Linked DNA regions of Diceros bicornis minor. The main gene of each other region encodes a partner of the protein of the gene in region 2 in a complex. Links are inferred from orthologs where the notes say so. Each region holds a gene or a part of one and is shown on either strand. Other genes may lie near its edges.

Evidence for each region.
Region 1: the proteins of STUB1 (region 2) and CHIC2 are in contact, whole or in part, in a crystal structure (PDB 8SUV), measured with the Homo sapiens proteins. The link is inferred for Diceros bicornis minor from reciprocal best matches to the Homo sapiens genes STUB1 and CHIC2. Residues at the interface, in NP_005852.2 of Homo sapiens: Lys30, Asn34, Phe37, Tyr49, Val61, Asn65, Leu68, Leu71, Val94, Lys95, Phe98, Phe99, Gln102, Arg128, Asn130, Phe131, Gly132, Asp134, Ile135; in NP_036242.1 of Homo sapiens: Leu156, Pro157, Lys158, Thr159, Pro160, Ile161, Phe162, Arg163, Pro164, Asp165.
Region 3: STUB1 (region 2) and HSPB8 share a complex: the UniProt entries of both Homo sapiens proteins name them as parts of the chaperone-assisted selective autophagy (CASA) complex. The link is inferred for Diceros bicornis minor from reciprocal best matches to the Homo sapiens genes STUB1 and HSPB8.
Region 4: STUB1 (region 2) and BAG3 share a complex: the UniProt entries of both Homo sapiens proteins name them as parts of the chaperone-assisted selective autophagy (CASA) complex. The link is inferred for Diceros bicornis minor from reciprocal best matches to the Homo sapiens genes STUB1 and BAG3.

The regions. Positions count from the first base shown.
Region 1 is NC_080747.1:42,073,610-42,081,211, forward strand, and holds the start of CHIC2 (cysteine-rich hydrophobic domain-containing protein 2), read right to left. Parts: upstream 3,017-7,602; 5' UTR 2,701-3,016; coding exon 2,582-2,700; intron 1-2,581.
Region 2 is NC_080765.1:47,639,444-47,646,679, reverse strand, and holds STUB1 (E3 ubiquitin-protein ligase CHIP), read left to right. Parts: upstream 1-4,396; 5' UTR 4,397-4,464; coding exon 4,465-4,623; intron 4,624-5,169; coding exon 5,170-5,368; intron 5,369-5,457; coding exon 5,458-5,623; intron 5,624-5,831; coding exon 5,832-5,919; intron 5,920-6,063; coding exon 6,064-6,120; intron 6,121-6,208; coding exon 6,209-6,526; 3' UTR 6,527-6,722; downstream 6,723-7,236. Other genes in the region: RHBDL1 (rhomboid-related protein 1), read left to right, coding at 257-430, 652-1,100, 1,228-1,513, 1,594-1,654, 1,732-2,003; uncharacterized protein LOC131422050, read right to left, coding at 2,638-2,801, 2,905-2,980, 3,302-3,403, 3,460-3,853, 3,927-4,054; JMJD8 (jmjC domain-containing protein 8), read right to left, coding at 6,841-6,921, 7,007-7,141, 7,217-7,236. UniProt on the Homo sapiens protein: E3 ubiquitin-protein ligase which targets misfolded chaperone substrates towards proteasomal degradation.
Region 3 is NC_080774.1:15,958,438-15,965,987, forward strand, and holds the start of HSPB8 (heat shock protein beta-8), read left to right. Parts: upstream 1-4,547; 5' UTR 4,548-5,021; coding exon 5,022-5,382; intron 5,383-7,550. UniProt on the Homo sapiens protein: Involved in the chaperone-assisted selective autophagy (CASA), a crucial process for protein quality control, particularly in mechanical strained cells and tissues such as muscle. Displays temperature-dependent chaperone activity.
Region 4 is NC_080745.1:82,420,010-82,426,984, reverse strand, and holds the start of BAG3 (BAG family molecular chaperone regulator 3), read right to left. Parts: upstream 3,006-6,975; 5' UTR 2,700-3,005; coding exon 2,514-2,699; intron 1-2,513. UniProt on the Homo sapiens protein: Co-chaperone and adapter protein that connects different classes of molecular chaperones including heat shock proteins 70 (HSP70s), e.g. HSPA1A/HSP70 or HSPA8/HSC70, and small heat shock proteins (sHSPs), e.g. HSPB8.

The DNA.
Region 1 (7,602 bases), on a different chromosome or scaffold from region 2:
AGTATGCCTGTGAATTATGCATGACCGAGTCATGTCAAGTTTTACATTACGATTACTATACTTATCTATGTCATCACAAAACAGGCTTAGGCTTTCAATGCAGAAAGATTCTTATTAATTCTCACCAAAATACTTCACATAGTAATTTAACCTCATATAAATTGCTTAGAAATGAAAAAATAAGACCAAAGTGAATCACTGTTAGGTTTGAATACAGCAGTTCAGATTTCTTAGTACTTTGCTTTACATGTATGTTTCTCAAAGTGGAACACTACAGGTGTGGAGGATAATTAATAAAGTAATAAAGGCTAATATTTATTGAACACAGTACCACACAATGTGATGAATTCTTTGCAATGTATTGTCTCATTTAATCCTTAATAACCTTAAAAGTTAGGTGCTATACTATCTTCATCTTAACTGAAAGAGACATAGATAATTTACCCAAAAAGTGGCAGAGGATAGATTTGAACCCAGAGCCTAGAACCAAGGTAACATGGAAGACAGGGAAGTGGCTGAGGAGATCACAGAAATATTAACTCCCAATGTAAAAAGGCATACTGTTTACTGATAGCATCTAGTTCCTCATTCCTCGTTATACTCTGGAATAGTGGTTTTCACTCCTGGCTACACATCAGAATCACTTGTCGGACTTTTTAAAAAACCATCCATGCCAGGGACACTCACTCAGATACTTGGCCTTCAATTGTCCTGGCCTGGGGCAAAGACAGGGTTTTTGTTTTTTGGTTTTTTTTTAAAGCTCCCCAGGTGATTCTAACAGGAAGCTAAGATTGAGAACCTGTAATTCTCACCCATCCTGTTAACCTCTCTGAGTAGCCAACTACAATCAAATTTACTGATCACCTATTTGGTTCTGAGCACTTCGCCTACGACATTTTCCATCTACCCAACAGCGCTTAGCTTTTCTTTTCCTTCAACAGAGGAAACATTACAACTACAGCTGCACCTTTCTAAACAATAAAACTTCGCCAGCTTTCTTTGACACGAGGAATGTAGGGGGAAAGGTGGGCAGATAACATGAAAAACTTTGAAAATCCCTTCTTTAAGCACCCATATACTCCTTAGGTTTAAAAGAATGTAAAAACGTCCTAAGCGCCAAACTAAAAATTAAATGGCAGGCTATGAGAGTAAAAAAGTTCTGTGATATATATTAAAGAAAGATTTAATATCCATGATATTTGGTTATATTTCTTAATTCTGCTGGTGATGACAGTTAAAACACTAAGTAACTGTTATTGTGGTGATAAATTCCATTGTCTTCTCATGGCACTATGACAGTGATTATGCAGTGTTTTTACCCTAAGTCACCTGAATATAAACTAACAGATGCTAAGAAAATCAAAGCATTACATAAGGATACCCAAACAACAATATGGCTGGTCATATCATGTACTGGGCAATGCAAGAATTTTGCTGACAATCTTACATAGGATCTCATATGAGAAGTCTTACTGTTTCACTAAAAGTTATTCACCGCACATCCCACTCGCCCTATACCAAAAATATAATGAAAACTGTTCCAAACAGTCTCAGACTTGCTGGCCCTTTTATTTTAACCAAAAGGTGAAGTGTGGAGATATCTGACAAGCATGGAGGTTTGACCCTTTGATTTGAACAAGAGCTCTAAAATGAAAAAGAGTATAAATACTTCAAGTTGTACAAAACTCGACTTCTCGGAGAAACATTACAAAACTTCCTACTTCCGGACAGCTCATTATTTGGTTCAAGTCTTCACATTCCTTTATTAGTCATAACCTTTCGGAAAGCTATCATTCCCTATTTGGATAATATCGACTTTTAAAGGTTGCTAAGTGGACTTACAGGAACCCTTATCAAATGAAGAAGCCATGCCAGAGTTCATGCCCAAAGGAGGGACTTAGATTACAGAGAACCCAACCCCCAGTAACCCAAGCAGAGGGTGTCCATCACCTAGATTTTTTTAAAAATATATATCGTTCTGCATATCTTAAATACATGTTCATCTACACATTTTTATCATACACAATTACAGGAACTTGCATTAGTTCCGCAGAAATTGACTCTGCAGGAAACTGGGAAGACCTGTGGGTATGTGTGAAACAGACAGAACGGCAATGAACCAGCCATGACCGATTGTCACTGGGGTCTCTAACGGCCCAGATCTGGCCTCTGAGCCATATGTCACCAGGCTCAAAGGCACAGACGAGACGAGAGAACCACAGGGCAACTGGATGAGAACACAAGGGGGAGGCACCTCATTACGTGTACTTTCACCCCGAAGCTGAAGGGGTGGCCCGAAGGGCAGACTCCAGAGAAAAACCTTCTCTTCTGGGATCCGTCACCATCCCAGGCCTGTAGGGCCTGCTAAGAGGGGTGTGTAGGGGAGGAAGGGCAGCGTCTGTCTCCACTTCGGAGACCTAAACAAACAAAAATACTGCAAGTTCTCACTTCCTGGTCGCCTCCTCTTCCCGAAGGCCCCCGACACAAGGCAGACACCGGGGAAGAGGGCTCCCGAGGAGTAAGGGGGCCCACCCCAGCCCCGCACCTCCCGTCCTCGCCCTCGCCCTCCTCCGGGCCTTACACGGTGACGTGACCGGAGCCGCGGACCACCACCGGGTCCGGGGAGTACTTGAGCAGCTGCTCCTCCAGGGCCCGCTCCTCGTCCTCCTCCTCCTCATAGATCTCGTCGAAATCCGCCATCCTGAGCCTCCGAGGCCCCCTGCCCGAAGGGGCCTGCCTCCAGGAGCCGGGGCCGGGATTCGGGCTGGCGAGGCGGCGGAGGCTGAGGGGAGTCGCTGCCGCGGGCTCGGAGGCCGCGGAGTTCGCTCTTGGCCGTCTCGGCTCAGGCTACAGAGGAGATGGGGTCCCGGCCGTCGCCGTCGCCGCCGCCATTACCGTCAGCAATAACAACAACACAATGTCAACATCCGCCCAAGGGCCGACACCTCCACCAGCTCCACCGCCGCCGCCGTCGCCGCCGCAGCAGCAACTCAGGCAACCACAGCAACAGCCAGGGCTACCCGCAGCGGGAGCAGCCGCCTACGGCATCGCGAGACTTCCCGGGAGTGCAGGCGGGCGCGTGGGCGCGCGGGTTGGCGGGCGGGAGCGCGCACGCGAGGCCTCGCGCGCTCCCAGGCCGCCTGCCTTCCTCCGCTCCCACCCCCGACGACGCCTTGGGCGCGCGCTCCCGCCGGCCGGGCCCCGCCCTCCCGCAAATGGGTCGCCTACCCGCAAAGGGAGTGGCTCTGCGGGCCGGAGGCGTTGACCCCGACTCAAAAACAGAGCTCGGACTGTCCGGTGGGGCACTTAGTTCCCGAAAGTAATCTCGAACCAAAACAAACAACTAAAAATAAAAACCCTGGGTGGAATGGAGAATTCATGGTGCGTGTGATTGCCAGTTTATCTAATAACCGAATCTCGCTTTTCGTCAGTTTTTTCAGTCTGTGATGAGAACGAGAGTCTGTACTTTCCCAGTTGGAGGAGCCCAACAGGCAAACCGCAGATACTTTTGTCCACTATAATACAGGACTTTTCAAAACGTCCAAATTCAAACATCTTGTCCCATCATCTCATTAAATATAGTCCAATATATGAGGCCAATGACGCTGATTTCTTTTTTCTTACAAGAAAACTCAATTGTATTCATACCGTGAAACAAAATTGACAAATTCTCTCGATTCCACATTAGAAGATGCAGTTTCCTGCCCCAACTCTCTCATCGACCATAACCTGTTTTCTTCCGTTAAGACCTTAAGGAATCTCTTTCGCTTTCTTACAGCTCCTCCCACGAAAGGGAACGGGAGGGCTGTGGCGTGGGCGGCGGCAAGAGTTGAAGGAATTCCCCTTACCTGCCTAGACCACTAGTAAAGTCCTAAGGGTCACCTTGGGTACTTGGTTTCATAGTCAAGAACCTGTCCAGGCATTCAAATAGTTCAGGGGTAAGAGTGGGCTCCTGAGAGAGTCCTGAATATTGAGCATACACTGTGAGGGCAGAAAAGGATAGTCATAGAGGCCCCACCGCTGGTCAGACTATTCTCCGAGTACAGTGTTTACATCCTGGCAGTTGACTTTAGCTGGGTCATTGTTGAAGTTGAGAAAGTGCAATGCAGGACAATGAGGACAATGAGAAATGCCAATCTCCTATTGAAAATGGTTGAGGGAAATGAGCATAGTTAGCCAAGAAAAAGATGAAGGAAAAACACAGTAGATGTATCAGACTTGCTGTATATCTCTCCAGAGGACATTTATTCATTCAACAAATATTTACTGAGCTCTAACTGTGTGGCAGGCACTGTGCAAGGGTGTGGGGGGGGGTGTGTATGTGTATGTATGTGTGAATGAGATACAATCCCTGCCTTCTAGTAGCTTTTTTATCACTAAGGCAAGCAATTGTAATTCTGTCAAGTGCTCCCAGAGGGAGTATACAGAGGGTGCTAAGGAAGCACACAGAAGGTGGCTTGGTTTGGTGGTTAACAATGGGCTCTGGAGCCTAACTGCCTGCCTTTGAATCTCAGCTCTGCCACTTACTGTGTGACCCTGGCCAAGTCACTTAACCTCTCTGTTCCTCATGTGTAAAATGAGATCATAATAGTATCTACCCCACTGGGCTGCTCTGAGATTAAAGGATTAATAGATGTGAAGTGCTTAGAAGAAGGCCTGGCATGCAGTAAATATGGGATGGCGATAGGGGATCTCTAAGGCCCCCTCCAGCTAATCAACTCTATGAGGATCAGCACAATTTTTTGCATTATGTAACACTTTACTGTTTATGAAGTACATACATAACATTTCATTTAATATTCCCCAAGAACCCTGTGAAGTAACCAAGGAGGATGTAATTTGTTCCTTAGTTTCAGGGATGCTATGACTTTCTCATGGCCAAATGGCTATTTAATAGTCAAATTCAGGGCTTCAACTCCAGCGCACTGGGTAGGCCAAGCTCCTGAATTTCCTTCTTGGCAGGAACCAGGCGGCCAGAGGCTTCACTCTGAAGGCGTGGCTGCAAATGGGAGGATGAGAAAAGGGAACAAGGGGAAGGGAGGTCAGTGTGTTCCGGGCATGGCCAACACCCTGTGTGCTGTGACTGAGAATTCACCTTTCTGTAGAAGCAGTCACCAAGATAAGGGGCTGGTGCCCCAAAGTACCTAAATCATCACATAGCTGACATCTTCCTAAGGGCAGAGGAAGTCACACACAGCTCCTTAAATCTCTAGCACTTTCCACAGTTCCTGCTCCAGAGAAAGAGCTCAATAAATGTTATCTGAATTGAGATATATTGTTTCTAGTGCTATTTCCAGATCATCATGAGTTAATTAGACTTCCCAGGACTGTGAGAGCCTCACCCTTATCTTAACACTGGTTCTGTGTGGGAGAAATGTTCTTATTCTAAGACCTATTCAACAGAGAGAACTTTGTAACTCCCACTGCCTCAGTGGAAGGTAGGGGCTGCCTTGTTTTTGCCCTTCCTATTTTGCTCTTCTTTTTCTTGCTCTGGAAAACCTGTCAGAGCCAGCAAAAGGGTGTGGGACTTGGGAACAAGGCCGAGAGGGTGAAGGAAGATGAGTCAAATCTTTCCCTGATGATCGTTGACATCATAATCCCAAACTTCACTCCAAACCCTTCAGGGTCCAATTTCCTGTCAGACTACTTCCCTGGTCTCTTCCTGAGGATGAAGCCCCTTCTCAGTATCTTTTCCCTCAGTGTCCAGGTGCTCTCCTGCTATCTGCTGTACGGACTCCTCTCCATCTCAGTTCCCCTTTGTGTTCCTGCTTCACACACTTGCACATTTACCTTCAGACCAAATGGCTCAAAACCAAACAGGATAATGCCTCAGGGGCCTCACGAGGCAAAAAAATCTTTAGTTGCATTTTAAGGCAAATATTCCTAGGTTTGAAAATTTCAAGTTCTGTCACTACCTAGCTGAGTGGCCTTGGACAGATTCAACTTGCTAAGCTTCCTTTTCTTCATCCTGAAGTGGAACCTATGTCAAGGGGTTATCAAGGATCAAATGAGGTAATGCACGTGCTATGGACTGAATTGTGTCCCCCCAAAATTCATATGTGGAAGCCCTAACTCACAATGTGATGGTATTTGGAGATAAGGCCTTTGGGATGTAATTAGGTTTAGATGAGGTCAGGAGGATAGAGTCCTCAGGATGAGATTAGTGCCTTGATAACAGGAGACCAGAGAGCTTGCTTTCCCTACCACCCGCCCCCAGAAAGGTGTGAGGCAGAAAGAAGACTGCCGCCTGCAAGCCAGGAAGCTGGCCCTCACCAGGAACCAAACCAGTCAGCACTTTGATCTGGAACTTCCAGTCTCCAGAACTGTGAGAAATAAATTTCTGTTGTTGAATTACTCAGTCTATGGTATTTCATTATGGCAGCCCAAGCTGACTAAGACAGCATTTAAACCCTGATTTGTTTACTCATTCATTCGTTAAACAAATATGCATCAAATTATTCCCATGTGCCATACTCTGTGCCAGGAACTAGGGTTTAGCAATAAGGTAGTAAACAAAACACAGTCCGTGACTTAATGGCGCATAAAGTCCATTGGGGAGGGCTGACAGATAATTATAAAAATCAGTAACTGTTAGAATTGTGATCAGTCCTGTGGACAAGAGCAGGGGAGACCATGGGCCGGCCCCGTGGCTTAGCGGTTGAGCGCTCGCGCTCCGCTGCTGGTGGCCCGGGGTTCGCATTCCGGGCGTGCACTGACGCACCGCTTCTCCGGCTAAGGCCGCGTCCCACATACAGTAATTAGAAGGATGTGCAGCTATGACATACAACTACCTACTGGGGCTTTGGGGGAAAAATAAATAAATAAGTAAAATTTAAATAAATAAATAAATAAAAAGAACAGGGGAGACCATGAGATCAGTTAACAGATCTAACTCACTCTGAGAAATCAAGAATTCTTCTCTGGAGAAATGACATTTAAGTTGAGCTAAGCAAAAGTATGAGGGTGGGGAAATAGAAGAGAGGAGAAAGTTCTAGGCAGCAGAAACAGCATGTTTGCCTTAGTTTGGGCCGCTATAACAGAGTGCCATAGACTAGGTGGCTTATAAACAACAGAAATTTATTTCTCTGCCCTCATGACCCAATCATCTATTAAACACCCCATCTCCTAATACCATCACATTGGGGGTTAAGATTTCAACATATGAATTTTAGGAGAACACAAACATTCAGTCTATAGTAATGTTTAAAGACCCTGAGGCAGAAAAGAGCACAACCCAAATCAGATACAAACTAGAGCCGGTGTGGCTGGACCACAGCAAAGAAGGCAGAGCCCAACTGGGATGGGGGCAAAGAGGTTGGTAGAAACATGAAGGTCTTGGTAAGGAATCTGAAGTTCATCCTAAAAGTAAAGGAGATACACTGAGGATGTGAAGCCAGGCAGGTGCATTTTAAAATCTCCAAATGGGTGAGTCCAGTAGATCAACCTACCCAGCATGTATCCCCTACTTCCTCTGAAAACAGTACATATCCCCTCCTTCCTTGTGGTAAGTCATATCTCTCCCACTATCAGTACATATGATTGGGTTAAGCTGACCACATCCCCAATTCCAAGAGTGGGCATGTGACCTAGGGCTGGCAAATC
Region 2 (7,236 bases):
AGGGCGGTTGTTCTCAGACTTAGCTCTATCCTTCCATGGTCAGGGCAGAAATAAGGTGGGGAGACCTCTGGAGAGCTGGAGAAGGTGGAGGCCTGGGACCTGGGCGCTAGAGCCCTGCAGCTCCTGGGACCACGTGGGCACAGGGGCCTGGCCTGAGGGTGCTCAGAGCCTGTCTCCTCTAGCTGGCCTGGCCCAGCCCTGTGGTCTGGGGGCTGGGCCCACCCTCAGGCCTTGGCTGGCGGTCTCCTCACCCCAGCAGCTGGATCCTGACAACACAGGCTTCATCGGTGCGGACACCTTCACTGGCCTGGTGCACAGCCATGAGCTGCCCCTGGACCCGGCCAAGCTGGACATGCTTGTGGCCCTGGCCCAGAGCAACGAGAGGGGTCAGGTCTGCTACCAGGAGTTGGTGGACCTGGTCAGTGTCACGGTGGGTGTGCAGCAGGGGCGGGGTCCCAGGCCTTGGCTGGCCAAGTGCTGTGCTGGAAGGCCGGGGTTGGGTGGGCAGGCGGCCCCTCCTCCCTGCCTCCCACTGGGGAGGGCTGTGGACGTTGGGCAGGGCCTCAGACCCTGTGAGGAGCTGGGCAGGCCACATGGGCAGGGCGGCTGTGGGTGTAGTACAGTGGCCCACGCTTAGGCCCCGCCCCCCAGATCAGCAGCAAGCGCTCAAGCAGCTTCAAGCACGCCATCACCAATGGACAGCGGGCACTGCCCCGGGACGGGCTGCTGGACGAGCCGGGCCTGGGTGTCTACAAGCGGTTTGTGCGCTACGTGGCCTATGAGATCCTGCCCCGAGAGGTGGACCGCCACTGGTACTTCTACCGGCATCGCAGTTGCCCACCCCCGGTGTTTATGGCCTCGGTCACCCTCGCCCAGGTGGGCCTGCCCACGTGCCACCTGGGAGCCACCCATGTCACTGGCTTGCCTAGCCCTAATACCCGTCTCCCCCAGATTGTCGTGTTCCTGTGCTACGGGGCCCGCCTCAACAAGTGGGTGCTGCAGACCTACCACCCCGAGTACATGAGGAGCCCCCTCGTGTACCACCCCGGCCACCGCGCCCGGGCCTGGCGCTTCCTCACCTACATGTTCATGCACGTCGGGTGAGTGAGGCCCCTCCAGTACCCCTGTGATTGAATCAGGAGGGCTCAGCCCCTTTAGATGAGGCTGTGGGCTGGAGGCCCGACAGCTGACCTCACTCCTCGCACCCGTTTGCCCCCACATGGCCAGGTTGGAGCAGCTGGGGTTCAACGCACTCCTGCAGCTGATGATCGGGGTGCCCCTGGAGATGGTGCACGGCCTGCTCCGCATCAGCCTGCTCTACCTGGCTGGCGTGCTGGCAGGTGAGCAGGCGTGTGTCCCCTGGCCACCTTGTTGGCAGGCCTCTCTCTCACGGCCCCCCTTTGTTCACATAGGCTCCCTGACCGTCTCCATCACTGACATGCGGGCCCCTGTGGTGGGGGGCTCCGGCGGGGTCTATGCCCTGTGCTCAGCACACCTGGCCAACGTCGTCATGGTAAGGGGGCAACCACGGGCAGGGTGTGGGGAGGGGCAAACGAGGCCTGCCTCATGGCCTTTCTGTCTCACACCCCACAGAACTGGGCTGGGATGAGGTGTCCGTACAAGCTGCTGAGGATGGTGCTGGCCCTGGTGTGCAGTGAGTAGGGGGCTGGGGGGACTGGGGGGACTGAGCCTATGGCCAGGGTGCCTCCCACCTGCTGCTTCCCTCTGCAGTGAGCTCCGAGGTGGGCCGGGCCGTGTGGCTGCGCTTCTCCCCGCCACTGCCTGCCTCGGGCCCGCAGCCCAGCTTCATGGCGCACCTGGCGGGCGCTGTGGTGGGAGTCAGCATGGGCCTGACCATCCTGCGCAGCTACGAGGAGCGCCTGCGAGACCAGTGCGGCTGGTGGGTGGTGCTGCTCGCCTATGGCACCTTCCTGCTCTTCGCCATTTTCTGGAACATCTTCGCCTACGACCTGCTAGGCGCCCACATCCCCCCACCGCCGTAACGGGCTTCTGGAGCTACACAGGCCAGGGCGAAGGTGTGTGTGGGCCAGCCACCAGGCGGGCCTGCACATCCGCCCTCCGTGAATGTACGTCTCAAGGCTGCTGCTTCTCCCCTGTGGGGCGGGTGGCCCCTGTGGCCCCAAGTCCAGGCTGAGCCTTACACCAGCCCTGGTGCCCCCTCCCAGGCCTGGGGGTGTAGGACTGTTGGGCTGGGCCTGGTGGTGGAGGTCCCCAAGGGTGGCCCCAGAGGAGACCCTGCCTCCCAGCCTCCCCACCCAGGATTTGCGGTCTGAGCCTTTTTGGAGAATGAATAAATATTTTACACAGCACCAGGTGGCTGTACCAGAGCTCTGGGGGCTGGTCTGGCCTCCCCCCACTTGCTGAGCAGACCGTGAGGGCCCTTCCCTCCATGCAGGCGGCCTGGGCTCCCCCTTGCTCCCTCCACCTGGTATGAGGTGTGTTTGTAGGAGGCAGGAGGTTCTGGGGCAGGGCTGAGGGTCTCACCGTCAGGGGAGAGCTCAGCAAGCATTTACTGAGTGCCTACAGCAGCTGGCTCCTGCTCTGCCAGCTGGCCAACCAGAGACCTGTGGCCTGAGGTTGCGCGGCAGGTGAGCAGGCCCTGGGCCACAGCCACGTTCAGTCAGCCTGGGTCCTGTGCTTCTTGGCTGGCCTAGTGCCCTCAGGGGTGGCTGGGCCAGGGCCGAGGTTGGGCAGCAGGTCGGGGCACAGCTTCTGCCTCACAACCCAGGTCCACAGTGCTGTCTCCACGTGGTGAGGGGTCCACACCCCTGAGGTGCTGCCTAGGGAGGAACAGGAGGAGTCTGGGGACCAGGGGCCCTGGCCTCCCTCCCCTGCTGGACAGCTTTGCACACTGCCCCTTCACTGGGTCCTGGACGTCCTCACCTCTGCTCAGGGCTGTGGCACACTCCCGCCCCCCACCCAGGTACAACATGTAGTGCTTGGAGAGTGTACTGCAGAGCTAGCAGGCCAAGCACTGCGGCCACTGCCTCGTCGGAAATGAATGCTGCCTCCTCGGGGACTCCAGCAGCAAGGACCGCTGTGGATAGGAAGGGCCAGCACTCAGCCTCTGCCACTCTTGGGACAATCTTGGCGTGGGGCTGCCATTCCCAGTGACTGCTGGTGTCATGGACATGACCATCTGTCCTTTTTACAGACAAGGGCGCTACCAGGCCAGGTCCCGCCCGCGACCCTGCTGGGGCGCCCAGCTCTCCCAACTAACCCGAGGCGGTGGCGGGGCCCACGCCGCGGAGGGTGCACAATTCTGTGACAATTCCCTGACCGCTGCCTGCAGGTCCGGCAGCAGGCGGAAGGCGGTGGCCGAGCGCTGCAACACCAGCTCGGGGGCATTGGAGGTCACGAGGCGCGGCCGGAAGCGGCCTCTCTGGGGCCAGGCCAGATTGTGGGTCACGGGTGGTGGTCCTCGCCAGGGACCCCCACCCCCGCCGCGCCCCGGCCCGCGAGGCTCCGCACCACGCCATGAGGACCTGCTGCCACAAGGGAGCCGCGCCCCACGCCGCGGGGACTCGGCCCCCGAGGAAGCCGCGCCCACGCCGCGAGGACCCGCCTCCCGGAGAAGGCCACGCCCACACAGCGAGGACCCGCCTCCTGGGGGAAGCCACGCCCCATACCGCGGGGACCGCCCCCAGGAGGAGCCCAAATCCCGCGCCGCGAGGACGCGCCCATAGGAGGAGGACACGCCCCGCCGAGACCCCGCCCCCCACGTGAGAAGCCCCTCACCACCAGCTTCCACGCTAGCAGCCACTTTAGGTCATCTAGTGTCACGTGCTTCTCTGCGCGGTCCTGGATGGCTGCGGGCAACTCCACTCGATACCTGGGGAAGGACGGTGACGGGGAGTTCGGGCAGCGGGAGTCGCCCGCCCTACCGACCCCTCCCACCGGCCTACCATCGATCCAGGGCTTCCAGCCGCCCCTGGGAGTCCGGGTGGGCCCGCAGCACCTCCCCGTGGCGCGCCAGGATGGCGGTCCAGAGATTCGAGTCCTCACAGCCCCACAACCCGCGGGCGGCTGCCATGTTCGGGCGCCGGGCCGGGGCCTGGGAGAGTCGGGGGCGGGGCCTCGGAGAGTTGGGGGCGGGATCAGGGAGAGTCGGGGCGAGCTTCTGGAAGAACAACCCCTAAACGCGCGTGGCTGAGAGCATCTAGGGCCGCCCTCGACGATCACGCAGACTTCCGACGCCGCGGGTTGCGTCTCCGGGGACGCACTCTGCCGGCCTGCCCCGCCCCCGCAGTGTGTCGGGCGCACGCGCGGCCCCGCCCACCCGCGCGTGTCTGTCCGGCCTGCGGGCCCCGCCCCACGCGGCCGGAAATTCCGGTGGCGGATCGGTGGACCCGGCCCGAGCGCATCGCGGGCTCGGGCTGCGGGCGGGCGGCCGGGCCGGGCGCGGAGCCTGGGAGCGGAGCCCAGGCCGTGCCGCGCGGCGCCATGAAGGGCAAGGAGGAGAAGGAGGGCGGCGCGCGGCTGGGCGCCGGCGGCGGGAGCCCCGAGAAGAGCCCGAGTGCGCAGGAGCTCAAGGAGCAGGGCAACCGGCTCTTCGTGGGCCGCAAGTACCCGGAGGCGGCGGCCTGCTACGGTCGCGCCATCGTGAGTGTGCCCGCGCCGGGGGAGGGGCCGGCGTCCGGGCGGAGAGGGGCGGGGCCGCGGCTTCGGCTCCGAGTCCTCCCGCAAGCCCCTGCCCGGCCGCCCCCGCCGCTCCTTCGGAGGATTTTGGCTCTTCCGGAGGGCGTTTGGGCTTTGAGGACTCAGTGATGATCTTGTTCCAAAGGGGCCAAGGCCGCGGCTCTCCAGCCGGTGCTGGTTGCCGGAGAACTGTGGCGGGTGGGAGCTTCAGGGTGCTTGATGCCCGTCGGGCGGGGGGCCAGGGATCCTTGCCCCTTGAGGACCGCAGGCCGAAAGCTGGGATCTCCCTAAGTCTGGGAAACTTGCGGTTACAAAACCTATTGGAGTCAAGAGGGTGGGCTCAGATAGGCTTCGGGGCCAGCACTCCATCTCCACCAACTCTCAGGACCCAGGGACTTTGAGGCTGAGAAATCTCTAGTGTCTTGATTCCAGCTATGGGCCACAAACTGGGATAGAGGGGGCAGGCTGAGCTCACACCCTCATGCTGGCTGGCCCTGCCTTGGTCCCCAGACCCGGAATCCCCTGGTGGCGGTGTATTACACCAACCGGGCACTCTGCTACCTGAAGATGCAGCAGCACGAGCAGGCCCTGGCCGACTGCCGGCGCGCCCTGGAGCTGGACGGGCAGTCTGTGAAGGCGCACTTCTTCTTGGGGCAGTGCCAGCTGGAGATGGAGAGCTATGATGAGGCCATTGCTAATCTGCAGCGAGGTGGGCCTACAGGCTTGGCTGGTTATGGGGGTGCCTGAGAACAGGGGGGTGGACTGGCCAGAGGGTGACATGAGGCCCCCATTCCCCAGCCTACAACTTGGCCAAAGAGCAGCGGCTCAACTTTGGAGACGACATCCCCAGTGCCCTGCGCATCGCCAAGAAGAAGCGCTGGAACAGCATTGAGGAAAGGCGCATCAACCAGGAGAGCGAGCTGCACTCCTACCTCACGCGGCTCATCACAGCTGAGCGTGAGAGGTAGGCTGTGGTGGTGGCAGGCTCCAGGGCACCCTCCCCAAGTCACCACTCTGAGATCAACTCTGAGTCACAAACACAAGTATTTATTGAAGGCCAACACTGGCAAGCAGGAGACAGGAGATGAGGTCTGAATAAGCCCGAGGTTGGCATGCACTCTGACCTCTCCTGGCCAGACCCATCTCTGACCAGCTCCTTGGTCGACTTCCAGGGAGCTGGAAGAGTGTCAGCGGAGCCACAGGGGTGATGAAGACGATGGTCATCTCCGGACCCAGCAGGCCTGCATCGAGGCCAAGCACGTGAGGGTGCCCTGGCCCACGTGTGGGTCTGTGTGTGCATGCATGCAATGTGAGGGTGCTGCTGGTTCCTGTTAGGTGTGTGTCTGCGCCTGGGGAAGGGAAATGGAGTGTTTACCCCACGCGTAGCTGCTCGCTTCTTCACAGGACAAGTTCTTGGCAGACATGGATGAGCTCTTCTCCCAGGTGGACGAGAAGAGAAAGGTGTGCTGTCTGTTTCCTGGGGCCTGTGGGTAGCCGGAATCAGAGCAGTGTCCCCTTCCTGCTCCCTGACCTGACCTGTGTGTTGCAGAAACGAGACATCCCCGACTACCTTTGTGGCAAAATCAGCTTTGAGCTGATGCGGGAACCCTGCATCACACCCAGCGGCATCACTTACGACCGCAAGGACATCGAGGAGCACCTGCAGGTGAGGGAGGACCAGCGGGTGTTGGGGGCAGGGCCTGGATCCACTGACCACCTTCTGACCCTGTTGTCACTACAGCGCGTGGGCCACTTTGACCCTGTGACCCGGAGCCCCCTGACCCAGGAGCAGCTCATCCCTAACCTGGCCATGAAAGAGGTCATCGATGCATTCATCTCCGAGAACGGCTGGGTGGAGGACTACTGAGGCAGGGCCAGTGCAAGGGCCACTCGCCCCGCTTTGCCCGGTAACCTGGCCCTGGAGGGCCTTGGGGCAGTAGCCCTGGCCCCTGTACAGAGTTCATGTCCCTGAATTCTTGCCCCAGTGTCCCCATGCCACTCTCCGTCAGTTCTGATGCTGGGCCATCAGCCTCCCCTGTCCCCTTTCTGGGCTGGAAACAGCAGGTGAGGGTGGGCTGGGCTGGGCTGGGCTGGGCTGAGGCTGCCGCTGCCACCACTGTCCCTGTAATAAAATATGTGAGCACTATAGGGGCACGTGCTGGTGCGCGATGGGCCCACTGGCTAGCTGAGGAAGGTAGAGATGAAGACACTGGTATCAAGGTTGAGTGTGGCATGCCACCATCGGTCAGGGAAATACAGCACCTGGTGGGGATAGGAGGGGGAACATAGGAGTCAGGTGGGGGCCCTCAGCCCAATACAGCCTGGCCCCCTTCTGCCAGCCACTGACCTCACCAGCTTGGATGGTGCACTCCAGGGGCCGCGCAGATGGTGCCAGGGCTGGGTATGTGTCCCGGAACCAGGCTAGCGTGGTCTTGTTGGGGTGGAACTCTGGTGTCTTCTCAGGGGGATACAGGAACCAGCGCTAAAGGCAGGAACAGCAAGGTCACTGTCCACGTTGTCAGTGAGCCCCAAGCCTCAGCTCCGACCCTGTGCTGACCTTGCGGCCGTAGATCACCT
Region 3 (7,550 bases), on a different chromosome or scaffold from region 2:
GCTCACCCCAGGCGGCCTCCAGGATCCCAAGTGTCAGTGTGTTCCTCGTGTCATTTTTCTACTGAAAACATCTGGAAGGGCTGGAAGAATGTTCCAGAGAAGGAGGACCAGTGAGAAGTGAAGGGAGAGGGGCTGGCGACCGCCTGGGGTCAGTTATCGTCCGTGGGGTCAATCTGGGTTTGGAGAGCCGGCGCTCTGGCAGGGCATACAGTAGGGGCCGGGGGCACAGCTCGCTGGGCAGCAAAGATCTGACCCCGTGCCTTTACTTGTCCACATAAAATGGGGTTAACAGTATACTACTGCCTCACAGGGTTGTCATGAGGGTTAAGAGAGGTAAGGCATTTAGCAGAGCTGGCGCATAGTAGGTCTCAAATCATAGTGGGGCGCATCACTGTTTTGTCGTTTCTGTTGTTATTCATAGAATCAGGCTGTCATTAGGAACGCAGAGTCTGGAGTCAGATTGCCTGGATTTGAACATCAGCTCTGCCTCTTAGTAGCTGTGTGACCTTGAGCAAGTTATTTAACCTCTCTGTGCCTCAATATTGTCATCTGTGAATGGAGAGAATAATACCTATCTTAGAGCAATTTAGGTGAGGATTAAATAAGTCAATATATACAAAACACAACCGGTACAAAATGATAAATCTTTGCTATTTTTATTGTTATTATGATTATCATAATTATTTATAGAGGTGGTCAGGGGCTGTGAGCCCTGGAGAGAATTTTGGAGACAATATTAGGAGGAAGATAGAGCTCAATAAATAAGGTTACCTACCTGCACAGGATGGTGAGGACATCGACTTATTTAGGGAGGGACCCTGTGGGTTGTTTATTTTATTTATTAATCATCTGTTTTTGTACGGGTGTGTGGCAGAGAAAAGAGCACTGGGCCTGAAGTTCAGACACACCTGGGTTCAGAACACACATTGGGGAAGTCACATCATACCTTAAGCCTCAGTTTCCTCCTCTGCAAAATGGGGATGGTGATGGGCCGAACCTCCGGGGAGCCTGTTGTGAAGATTAAACGTAAACATGTTGGGGAAGCACTTAGCTGGGTGCCCAGCACCTTCTAAGTACCCTGGCAATCTTAGTGAATATTCTAACGCTGTGACCGTGTGCAGAATCTGTCACGTGTGAGTGAGCAGTTCAGACACAGGGTTGCTGACACAACATCATCCACTCGGCCAAGATCTGCTGAGCTCCTGTAACGCACCAGGCACCCTTCTAGGCATAGGGGCTGCTGCTGTGAACAAAACACACAAGGGTCCTGCCGTCACGGAGAGAATGTGCTGGAACTCCATTAGAGTCATCCATAGAGGGTCTGAGAACAGGAAGGGAAAAAGACCTGAGCACGCTCACCTCCTACTTGCTGGAGGATGCGCCGGGCTCTGGGGTGTCCAAGAGAGGGAACTCTGAGACAGGTCTTCCTGGACCTGGAGCCTGAGTGAATGGGGGAGGCCACCAGGATCTGCCCCCATGCCGGAACAAGACTTCCAAACCCCTATAATTGTAGATAAAACATTAGTCAAAAATAACGTCCAGAGAGCCACACCTTCGAGGGATTCAAGGAGCCCCTCCCTTCAGCCCTCACAGACCCTACCCCTCTAGAGTTAGGGAAGGGCCTGCAGGTGAAGGGCTGTGAGGCTGGGGAGGAGGGAGCTTGGGGTCTTGCTGCAGTGGAAAGAAAAAGCACGGAATTGGGCAACTGACAAACCTGTGTCTTTGCCCTGGCACTACCTGTGTGACTTTAGGCTGCTGCTTATCCCCGCTCAGCCCCCGTTTCTGGGATGCGGGGTGATGTCACCCTCCCTCTGGGCTGTCTGTTTGAGGACTAATAATTAATCGTGTACTTGCCGAGTGAAAGCTCCAAGAGAATGGCAGCCAAGGAAACCCTTGTTCTGGGACCTGGGATTTAACGTCCCCCTCCTCCTGCCCCTCACATACACCCTACCAGGGTCTTTCCTTCCCTAAGAGAGCCAGCCTGGAGGAGGCTCCTTCCCTTCCCTGGCCTCTCCCAGGCCTGGCCCCATGTTTTCACCTGGCCGATGAGAGCCATGGGGTTTATCGACCACTTTCCACGTGTGTGTTAGCTGACTCCTCCCCGGGTGGCTGGGTCAGCAGGGCTAGCAGCTGCCTCCCTCCTCAGCTTTCCAAATCAGAAGGCTGGCCTGACCCAGAAACAGTGGGACAGCAGGTGTGTGGGAGGATCACTGGACACAGCCTGGGCTACACAGTCCTATTCTGGTTATTACCCTGGGCTCCCAAGTCCCGCTGGCTTGGGTTCGAATCCTCAGCCAGCTGTGTGGCCCGGGGCAGGTGGCTTCACCTCTCTGAACCATGAGGATTCAATGCCGTCATGAATAACAATGCTGAGCACAGGACCTGGTATACAGTCAGCGCTCAATAAATGTGAGCCATGACTATGATTATAAGAGGCAGTGCAGCAGAGGGATCAAGTGCCAAACTGCCTGGGTTCGAATCCCAGCTCTGCCACTTAACCAGGTATGTAGACATGGGCACGTCATGTCATCTCTCTGTGCCTCAGTTTCCTCATCTGTAAAATGGGAATAATAAAATTTCCTTCCTTGTAGGGTAGCAGGGAGGACTAGATGAGTTAACATACGTAAATTTAAAGTGCTTAGAGAAGAGCCTGGCACATGGAAAGTGCCAGAATCAGCTAATGCTTGCTATTTCTGTTTTCAAGCTGCACACCTCCCTTCCTTCCTACAGGCCTCAATGCAAGCATCCTTGAAATGAGAAGGTGATGAGGTCATGGAGCTTGTGTCACCCGCTTCCTCCTCAGGCTCTGTGGGGTGGAGGGGAAGCCAGGAGAGGAAGGAGAAGGAGGGTCTTCTAGAACACATCCACCAGCCGACTCACCCATAAGTAAACACAGCTCCATCCACACATAAACACACTCACCGCTCCACCCACTCCAATCAAAACAAACTCACTCCGGGCCAAGCCACCTCCAGCCCAGCCCACCCACTCAGAAGCCTCACCCCACCCCAGCCCAGGTCCCAGGCGGGGCTGGCTTTCTCCTCTGTGTCACCCTGTCATTCTCATCCTGGCTCCAAACCCAGCCGGCCCCGCCCCAGCTGTAATTACAGAGAGAGCTGAGGCTTCTGTGCCCAGCGTGACGTCAGCCTGAAGCTTCTAGCCTGATGATCTCACCCCGAGTCAGTGGGGGGTGGGGGGCGCCTCAGTCTCCCTCTCTCGGCTGGAGGGGGAGGGAGGCGGGGGTCTCTGTCAGTCAGCTCAGCATGGATCTGAGATTCAGAACAACCCAGGTTCCCACCCGGCCCTGCCACCCCAGAGCTGCACGCACCGGCCAGTGCTCTGAGCCTCTGTCTCCTCACCTGCAAAATGGGGGTGGTGATAAGTCTCTCCTCATTGATGTGAGGGTTTAATGCCATAATGTCGTGCTCACCTGCCACCGCAGTGATAGGTACATAGGAGGCAGTACCAGATGGTGACTTGCTTTCCATACTATTATTTTTAGAAAACTTTCTCATGGAGGCGCTGCTTAACTTCAAAACGATTTCTCAACCAATGACTCACTGAATTCCTTAACACCCCAGCCCACCCCACCCCCCGAGGAAGCAGGGCTGAGACCCTGAAGCCCACAGAGGGATACCGGCATGCCCCGAACGGCCCACCTGTTGGGGACAGATCAAAGATTGGAACCCCAGCTCAAGGGACCTTTAAGTCAAAGGATGATTTATAGATTCATTCTCCAAGCCACGTGGGAGGGGCGGGGGAGTCTAGAAAACAGGTCCTCTCTGGGCTTGGAGTTTCAGGCCAGACACCATGCCTGGGTACAGCACGTTTTGATAATTATCATTATTTACAGTCATAATAATAATAGAAGCTGGTGCTCGTTGTCACTTCCTGTTCCATCATCCCCATCTGTAAAACGGAGATAATAGTAGTAAGTTTACCTCTTGAGATTGTTGTTGAGGATGAGCTAATATTTGTAAAGCATTTAGAACAGGGCCTGACATACAGCAAACACTATGTAACTGAGAACTCAAAATTGAAAATATAACGGTGTCAGTCTGCTAAAGGCTTTGCTAAATTGCCTCATGTCTTCCTCAGCACACACCCCTGAGGAGGCTACTCTGATGTCCATTTTGCAGGCGGGGAAACTGGGAGCTCATAGATGCGTGGGGAATAATGTTACTCTCCTCTGAGGACACTGAGGTGAGCTCTGAGAGCTTGTAAGTGGGGATTGCAATCCAGAGCCATCTGCCTCCAAACGCACGGGGCTCTGTCTCTCTCCTCCCCATCTGCAGGTCCCCAGGGGGGAGGCAGGATGCAGGCCGGCTGTGGGGAAGGTATTTCCAGAGGGTGACCTGAGCCCTCAGCCGGACGAGGGTTATTAATAGGGCCCTGCCCGGGGAGGGCGGGCTCCGGGGGACGAGGGAGGGCGGGGCTGAGCCGAGCGTGGGGAGGAGAGAGTCCGAGAGGCTGGCTGAACTTGGACGCAGACGCCCCTCCCAGCCCCCCGGGAGCCCAGCTGTTCCCTCAGCGGATTCTCTGGGGCTGCTTCATCACCTCTGAATACTCCTGTGACAGGAGGCACTTGCAAAACCCGCCTCCAGTCCCTAGCCGCAATAAATAGAAGGCTCCCAGCCCAGGAGGAGCGAGAAGCTTCTAGGCCTGCCTCCCTGGGTTTATTAAGCTCCTGGCTCCACTTGAGACCTCAGCGGCTCTGGCTGCCAGCCTGTGCGGCCTGGAAGGACAGAGACCGGCTGCTCTCTGGTGAGGCAGCACGGAGAGGGGCCCTCTGGGATTCTGCTGGACCAGCTGGGGGTGGCCTCTGGTGGCTGGAGTGTCTTTGGGGCGTGGGAGCCCAGCCTGGTGTGTGCCTCCGTCCCTGGCAGTGGATGGTTCAGCGTTTTCTAAAGCTGAAGAATAAGCTTGGAAGGCCAGCCCACCCACATCACCTTGCTGTGTGACCTTGGGCAGGTGGCTCCCTCTCTCTGAGCCTCCGTGTCCCCTCCAGCTCAGCAGCCACCATGGCTGATGGTCAGATGCCCTTCCCCTACACAGGCCGCCTGCGCCGAGACCCCTTCCGAGACTCGCCCCTGTCCTCCCGCCTGCTGGACGATGGCTTTGGCATGGACCCCTTCCACGACAATTTGACTGCCTCTTGGCACGACTGGGCCCTGCCTCCATTCTCCTCGGCCTGGCCGGGGACCCTGAGGTCGGGCATGGTGCCCCGGGGGCCCACTGCCACAGCCAGGTTTGGGGTACCCTCCGAGGGCAGGAGCCCCCCACCCTTCCCTGGGGAGCCCTGGAAAGTGTGTGTCAACGTGCACAGCTTCAAGCCAGAGGAGCTGATGGTGAAGACCAAGGATGGCTATGTGGAGGTGTCTGGTGAGTAGGGGGCAGAGGAAAAGGAGAGAGAACCCGGGGAGGGAGGTGTAGACTTCAGCCCTGGGAACAGCAAGGAGGACACTCGTATGGGGAAGCTGTGACAGCATGACACAGGTGACTTCAGGGCTCAGGAATGTGGCCACAAAAGTTATCTTTATAGAAAAGCTCTCCTCTCCCGGCTTCCAGCAGAAACCTTAACCTGACCCAGCTGCTGGGGCCTTTGGGTGCTGTGTCAATCAAAATCCAGGCAGGAAAATGTAAACCACATCGGAGATTTTGACAGAGAGAATCTAATCTAAAGAATAAGTTAAACAGAGAAGGAATAAAAGACAAGGAAGAAATGGGGTTCATTGCACCCCAGCATCACAGCAGTCTAGAAGGCGTGTTTCATGCTGAGCGATGATAATGTTCATACCCAGCACAGCTTTCAAGAGAAACGCCTCCCCTTGTCCCAGAGGGAAACTGAGGCATAATAGTCGTTATAACAATACTAAGTGGTAACCTTGATTGAGTGCTTACCACCACGCAAGGCGCCTTACCTGTAGCATCTTGGTTAATACAACCAGAGGTGGATCCTGTATGTCTCCTCTTTTTTACAGATGAGGAAACCGAGGCACAGAGACGTTAAAGTAACTTGCCCAAGGCCTCCAAGCATTCAAACCCAGGCTGTCTAGGAATCAGGAGGCCGGAAGCAAATTGATCACATACTGAGCACCTAGACTAGGTGCCAAAGGCTGGACTAAAACTCGTATTCCTTGTCCCGAATAATCCAGCAGAGGTGTCTAGTCCCATTTTGCAGCTGAGGAGGCTGAGGTTCAGGTGGACCCGTCCAAGGTCACGCCATGAGTCAGCAGCAGGAATTTTCTGGGCCTACCCAGGACACCAGGCCCAGGGCTGCTGCCACCACTTCCCAGCCCCGGGGAGGAAATGCTCTGGAAAAAGAAAAGAGGAGACAGAGGCTCGGTGCCTGGTAAGCAGGGCAGCAGAGGAAGAGCTTTCTCTCCCTTCCCTCCCGATTAACGCTCCATTAGGAAGAGCATGTTCCTGGCAGGCTCCGCCAGCCAGAAGATCAAGGCCATTGCAGACACAGGCTGGGCAGGGACAAGCCCCGGCAGGCAGGCAGCGTTGGGGGAAGTTTCAAAGCCTCGCAGGGCAGAATTATAAACATCAGAGGCTCCCGAGGAGGTGAGCCAGGAGGCACGCTGGGGCCACGTGCAGAGGGAGGAGGTCAGCCAGGGCTCCCCGAGCCAGGCAGGAGTTCTCAAACTGGCCCCACCACGAACCAGCAGGCTGTGCAAATTACGTAACTTCTCTGTGCTTTGTTTCCTTATCTGAAAATCGGGTTCAAGTAGCGACGCCGCGTAAGGATTGTTGTGTTAAATGACGTGATGCGTGTAAAGTGTGTACGTAGTGCCTGGAACACAAGGGATCAGTACTGTTATTGTGGTTGATGTTGTTGTTGTTAAAATGCCAGGCACATAGTAAAGACCCAATAAATCATAAATGGTAGATGCTGTTTGAGACCTGGGTTCAAATCCCGGCACCGCTGTTCCCTCTCCGGATGGATACACAGAAAGTCTTTTCACAGCTCCCAGCCTCAGATTCCTCATCTGCATAATGGGGATCATAATAATAACTCTCCTGCAAAGCTGTAAGGAAGATTAAATATATGCAGACAGTATATGGTAATAAATGCAGAGTGTCTGTAAAATGGAGCTAATAATAGGGCCTGCCTGGCACTCTGTAAACAAGGTGATTATTATCACCATCCTCCCATCTTTGTTTTAATTAGGGTTCCAGAATCTTCCACTCTGGGTTGGAGGATTGCCCATCCTCCAGGTTGGAGAGCCCTGTGGCCCCTCCAGGAGACCTCTGTCCAGCCTGGAGGGTTTTTCTCCATCCTCCTTTCTAAGTGCTTCTTAAAGTAGGGTCTGGCAGCTCCAGGCTGAGATCCCAGCTAAGTACCTTAGGAATCTGGAGGCTGTGAGTGAGTCTCAGAGCCTCAGTTTCCACATCTGTAAAGTGGGGTCATTGGGGGCTTAAATAAAAGACAGACAAAGCCTTTTTTGGTTGTAAAATCCTCACAGGTGTGCACTTAGCAACCTCAGCTTGACAGAATCCAAATCCCCTGAGAGTACATACAGAGACTGTCGTAAAAGAGGTTTAAA
Region 4 (6,975 bases), on a different chromosome or scaffold from region 2:
GATTGACAGCATCTCTTCCTGAAGGTAATGATGCTCTGAGGGTCCTCTTGGCTTGGCTCCTCCAAAACCACCCTTTGTTTTAAGCCAGGGCCCTTTCCTCATTATACATTAAGAAACCAGTTTCTAATATAAAGTAATACTCAAGGATTTTCCATTGTATTTAGTCTGGAGTGAGGTGTAATCCATATAAGTGAAAGTGAATTAGTCACCCACATGTTCTGTATCAAAGCACAGGTTGCAAGCAATGAAGCACAAAGAGCTAATGAACTGAATGTTTTCTCCTTATGTTTTGGTGCCATGCTGACAAATCTCAAGTAGTTAATTTGGTAAAGAGAACTCTTTTTCTTGAGTTGATCATAACCAGCCACCATCCAAGTAATCACAGCATAGAAGTCAGCCACCCAATACTTGGTGGTCTGGAGGACACAAAAAATAATCAAGTATTCCAGCCCACATGCTTCACAGTTTCATAAAAATTCAAGACACTTCTACCTTCTTCTGAACAGATACACTGCCTCTTATTAGGACTTCCTGGTGTAGTTCTCCCTCTGCTTTTAGTACTAGCTGAGTGACCTCTGGAAACACATTTGAACTCACTGGGTTTCTTTCTCAGTAAAATAAAGAGGCTGAACTAAAAGATCTTTAAGGACCTTTCAACTTTAAAATTCTGACTGTTCGATTTTCAAATCAACTTTTCCAGCGTCAGACTTCTGGTTTAGTAGTCTTATTTTCTACTTGTTAAGAACAATACTAGTAACTCAACCTGTCTTTCCCTCCTTAGGGTTAATGAAACCACAGCCTCACCCATCCACCGGATGGGTACCGGAAGATCTCAACTTGCTGGGGAGTTTCACACTGAAAACAAAGTACTGGAAATCTGGGTCTGGTACTGCACTCACAGTGGATACGTTCAAACCATCTTCTGAATGCAAAACCAAGGATGCCAGCAAATTCTGACTGTTCCTGTCTCTATAGAAAGGATCCCTCCAAAGAATAGTTTTTTACCACACTAAAGATCTACATCCATGCAGATGAGAGTACCAGGGCAGGTTTGAAATGAGCATTAGTTTCACCCAATAATGGGCTGACCAGACACACAAAAAAGAAGGTATAATCACGCCCCGCCCAGCTAATTACAGCCTCTTGTACTAATTTTCAGAAATAAATATACAATTAATTTCTTATAAATGTAAGTTGCTGAATATATGATGTCTCACTGTTGGACATCAGTGTTAACAGTATTTTTAAGAAAAAAGCACATAAAAATGAAGGTGGATAATACGTATCTTTCTTCTAAAATAACGACAAACAGCATTTTTAATTTTGTGAATTTTTAAATCTTCAAAATAACTTACCAGCTCTTTACAGCTTTTATTTTTATTTCGCCCAGGCAGCATAACATTACTCTTTCTTTAAGTATATTTCTTCCTGCCAAGCTTTTTATTTTGAAAAAGCTGAAATTTATGGTAAATTACAAGAGTAGTACAATTAGTTATAATTTTTTAAATTAACACTCATTCCAAATTTATATTCTCAAATTTTCATCCTCCTAAGGATTAAAAAATACATATCCTTGCATATACGTAAATGAGGCATACTTCCGCTGTATTCACAAAGGTATTACTACTCAGTTACTGGTGTATTAGAAACAAATCCTAGGTATTCTCATACCATAACAAGGAAGGGAATGCATGCCATTAAAAAAAAAAACTCATTCTCTTTCTCGCCAGTGTGAGGCAATGTCGTAAGGCAATGGCCAACTATGAGACAGTCTCACGTATTTAGTTTAGAAACTGCCTGGGAAACAGCATCTTGTTTTTAACAAATCATACTAGAATATATTCTTATTGAAAACAGTTTCGAACAATAATACAATTTTAATTTCAAACACAGAAAAGGGGGAAAAAAAAGGCAATGTATTTACATCACTCTCCTGAGTCACTCTGCTCCTCAGACTGGAGAGCCAAGTCAAGATACCCCTCAACCAAGTGGAGGAAGTTTAGGACGTGAAATTCCTAAGGGCCCACCACCCGGGCTTGCGAATGGGCCCCTGGCGGCCGCCGAAGCGCGATCAGCAGAGTGAACCCGGGATCTCAGGCCGGCGAGCCGGGCGGCGGCGGAGGCCGCGGCGGGGCCTGGCCCGGGCCTTCGGCGCTGCCCGAGGCCGCCCGCCCCTCCCGGCCCCTCGAATCGAGCTGGTGGACCGGACCTGGCGCCACCGCGCGGGTCGCACTTCCCGGGCCGACCCCCGGAAACCAAATGCGGCCCAGGGAGGACAGTGCCCTCCGGGGCCTCCCCCTCGCCCCGACGCCGGCCAAGGGCGGGCCCGGAAAGGGGGCTGGTAAGGGCGCAGCGGGCCGACTCCCCGGGAGCTGGTGTCCGCGCGTCCCAGGCGGCCCTCACTGCCCTCCGGGGCCCGGGCGCGGGCGCCTCGCGTCCCCGCAGCCCGGCCCGGTCCCTCGCCCTCGCCGTCGAGGGGGCCGCCGGCGGGGCGCGGCGCGGGCCTGGCTCACCTTGGGGCCCTCGGGGGGCACGCGCGGGTCGTTCCACGTCGTGGTGCGGCTGTTGTGGTCCACGAAGAAGGGCCAGCCGGTCTGCGGGTCGATCTTGATCTCCCAGCCGGGGGGCAGGGGGTCGCGGTCGCCAGCGCCGTTGCCGGACGCCATCTGCACCATGGGTGAGTGGGTGGCAGCGCTCATGCTGGGTCGGGGTCGGCCCGGAGGGGCGGCCGCCGCGGCGCCGGGTCGCGGGGTGCGGGGTGCTGGGTCGCGGGGTGCCGGGTCTCCAGGCGCCGAGTGGCTCCCTGGCTGCGGCCGGAGCGAGAGCCGTGCGCGCCGCCGACGTGTCCGGGAAGCCGGCGCCGGGCACCTTTATGAATTAAAGGAGGGGGTGACGTGGCCCGAGAGGGGTGGAAGTGTCTGGAAATAGCCTCCTCGCTGCCAAAGGGGAAGGAGGAGATAAAGGGAGGTAGCAACTGGCCGGCTAGAAACTTCTGGTCCCATCCAGAGAAGTTGGCGGCGGCGCGGACTGGATGCGGAGCTCCGCCCTGAGTCATTGGCTATAATCGGCGCGGGGCGGGGCGGGGGCGGGGCCTCAGCTCTGCCGCCCCTCCCCCACGCTTTCCCCTCCTCCCCCGCCCAGCTGCGGGGGTGGCTGTCCCCGGGCGGGGGTGGCCCCGGGCTGGGTGGCCCCTGCGGCAGGCCGGCGGGACGAGCGAGCCCCGGGCCGTCGTCTGTGTGTCCTGGGCCGGTTTCGGTTTTCAGATTCGCTCCCTCTTCTTGGAGCCGCGTGGCTGTTCCCGGACCCCGGAGTCCGCGCGCGGGGTCTCTGCTGCTGCTGCTGCTGCTTATGAAAACAAAGTCATCCATCGTTCGCCTTTAAAGTCGTTGGTTTTAAACTAGAGTCTGGCCCACCCACCCCCTTTGCTCCTTCGTATACTGATACTCGGGGACACAGGCGTCCCTCAGTTACGTTTTAATCACTTTTTTTTCACGGGCTCAAGGGCCGTCCAGAAGGAGGTCTGGAATGTTGATCTGACACCATAACCAAGCCAGGGAGAAAATGGAAGTGCCAATGGAAACTCACCTGCTGCCTTTTGAAACCTAAGGGAGAAAGATTGCATCAGCTCAGGCTTTATGCTCCTGAACCTCATATCTCAAATATAGAAACTGTTATGGCAGTGGATGACTTTAAAGAAAAATCACATCCTGTGGGGTTTTGATCTTGTTTATGGTAGAGGTTGGTTCTTGCTATCTGAAATCTTGACTTTCATTTGGGAAGTGGGGACCAAATTGAATCATGAAATTTTTTTGTTTGGTGGATTCAATGGTGGTTGCACTTGTAACCTCAAGAGAGCATCCCAATTCCTCTGGGAGAGAGAGAAGGTACCCCAAAGGGAGAACGTTTGGGAGGTTCTATTTTAGATCCTTAGGCATGCAGACTCATTCCCTTCCCCAGAAACATTTGAGATGTTGCCTTGGACTAATATGGGGTCCAATTTTCCAACTCAAATTCAGAGAATACCCTGGCACCCTCAGTAGCACCTTTGGTCTCTTCCTGCCCTCAAATTACTCCTTTTGGAGCAAACGCTAGAGAGGCCTGCTGATTGTTTCCGATGGAATGATTCCCACTTACGTAGGTCTGTGTGTCAGCTTTGAAGTCCAAAAATTCAGTTTTGTAGAAACACAGAGGTGATTAAGCCCCAGGGACTGACTCAGGTCACCAGATACACAGGAGACTGATGTATAAACCCAAAGGCCAGTGCATTCTTTTACCATAAGAAATATTGCTTTTGAAGGAGCTGGACCCTCAAGTTCATTGGTCAGTATCTATCTTATTCTTCCCTATTTCTGAAGCCCTGAGCACAGGACTGGGCCCAGAGTTCATATTCAATAAATACTGATGTTTGTTGAAGATTGAATCCAAAGTGAATTTTTATTTCTCTCTTCTTCCTTAGCTCAATTAGCTTTCCACTACAATTAGAGTTTAAACACGGAGAGCATTCTTTGCTGGCTTTTTTTTTTTTTTTGCTAGACAGAAGCAGGTTCCTCTGGGATTAACAGAGCTGCTTCTCACAGCTGTATTCCACCAAGGGCTTCAAATGGTTTTGTCTAAAATGGAGCCATAAGTCTTAGAGAGCTGGCCAGAAGTTCCTTTGAGCTCTGCTGAGTAACAGGGAGCATGTCTGTCATTGGTGGCTTTTTTTGCCTCTAGGTCTTAAAACACTAGTTCCCCTGGTGCTATGGACTGAATGTTTGTGTCCCTCCAAAATTCATTTGTTGAAACGTGTTCCCCAATATGATGCTATGAGGAGGTGGGGCCTTTGGGCAGTGACTGGGGCATGAGGGTGAATCCCTCGTGAATGGGAGGGATATAAGTGCCCATATAAAAAAGACCCCAGAGAGCTCCCTCACCTCTTCTGCCGTGTGAAGACACAGTGAGATGGCCATCTATGAACCAGGACACAGGGCCCCCCCTAGACGCCAAATCCGCTATTGCCTTGATCCTGGACTTCCTAGCCTCCAGAACTATGAGAAATAAATTTCTTTTGTTTGTAAGCCACACAGTCTATGGTATTCTCTTATAGCAGCCCGAAGCCACTAAGACACCAGGCCTTCTGGAGTTCATTTGCCCAGATCAAAAGCTTAAACACGACCCTGGAATCCCCTTTCTCTCTTACCATCCAGTCATCACCAGTTCTGTAGATTCCACCTCCTCAATATTCCGTGACTCTGTGCAGTCTTCTCTTTCTTCAGTGTCACCAACCTGATCCAGGTCACCCTTATCTCTCATCTGGACCCTGGCAACGGCCTCTAGTCTTTTCCATGTCCAATCCATTGCCCACGTAGCAGCCAGAGCGACCTTTTTCAAGCACAAATGGACCATGTCCTTTCTCTGGTTAGAATGCTTTAATGGCTCCCATTGCCCTCTCTGTATCCAAGTCCACGCTCCTCGGCCTGATGTACACAAGACCCTCCTCCCTCTCCCTGGTGCACACTCTGTCGTGGCCCTGCTGAGCTCTAGCAGGCACACACTGCACTTTCTCAACTGCACACACTGCTTCCTCCACCTTCTCCCCCACCCCCAATGCCTCCCACTCCCTATGTCCAGCTGAGTCCTCTTCATCTCCAGGTATCACCTTTGGCATCACTCTCCTTCACCCTCCTAATCGGGGTCATGTGTCCCTTCTAGATGCTCCCATACAAATCCTGTGCCACCCTATCAAGAGCACTGCATTGCAATTGCTTGTTTGATGGGCTGATTTGCTTATGGATTGAGTTTCTTGAGGGCAGGAGCAGAATCTTGATCGCCACTGTGTCCCCAGCCTCTGGCACAGTGCCTGGTAAATAACAGTTATAAAAACAATAACAATTTTTGTGTGTGTGTGTGTGAGGAAGATCAGCCCTGAGCTAACATCCATGCCCATCCTCCTCTTTTTTTGCTGAGGAAGACTGGCCCTGGGCTAACATCTGTGCCCATCTTCCTCCACTTTATATGGGACGCCGCCACAGCATGGCCTGACAAGTGGTGTATTGGTGCGCGCCAGGGATCCGAACTGCGGCCGCCAGCAGCAGAGCGTGTGCACTTAACCGCTACGCCACGGGGCCGGCCCGAAACAACAACAATTATAATGGCTACCATTTATAAGCATTTACTACATGCCAGGTTCTGTGTTGTGGGCTTTATGTGGATTATCTCATTTAATCTTTGTGGCGGAGGCTGTGATTCCCTTTGGAATGAAGGATTTATTCCGCCAGCTGCTGGGAATACTCAGGAATACCAATCTCAGCTGTCCTTTCTGATTGGCTCAGCTGAAGGAAACTGCCCTGCCCAGGGTTGCACATCCTTCCTGGGGCAGCCTGCATCCAGTGGCTGATCTACTGAGGGGCGTGAGGGCCCGGCCCTTTTGGTCCAACTCAGTATCCGGCTCCTGTGGTCTCCCAGTTCCACAGCACCATCTGGGGTTGGCTGCTGCTTTCTATGGAACTGCAACCCCTCTCAACTCCCTCTGCCCGTTCCTGCTTCCTGCTCTCCCCTTACTGGTGTTACTCTTGAGAGAATTCCCTCATAAAATCCTGCTTGCTAACTTCTGTTTCACAGTCTGCTTCCTGAGCAACCAAATCTGGAGCAATCCTCTCAACAGCCTTATGGGTAGGTATTATGTTTCCCCCTTTACAGGTGAACCAGTTAAGGTTTAGAGATGCTAAGTAATTGCTCAGTATCACAAAGCTCATGCTTTGTAGGGGTGGGATCTGAATTTAGGCAATTGATTCTAGAGCCCATGCTATTAACCAGGCACTCAATAAATATAATAAGTGAATCAATGGCTTAGTCCCTTTAGTCTCCAAGGAAAAAATTTGAAAAGCTACAATTCAGAAGCAAAGCTTTGTGCACATAATTTTTCTCAATGCCAAGGAAACAGGGCAGCAGTGGGCTGCTGTGGAAGATCACAACTCAGCCCTGCCAATGATGTGG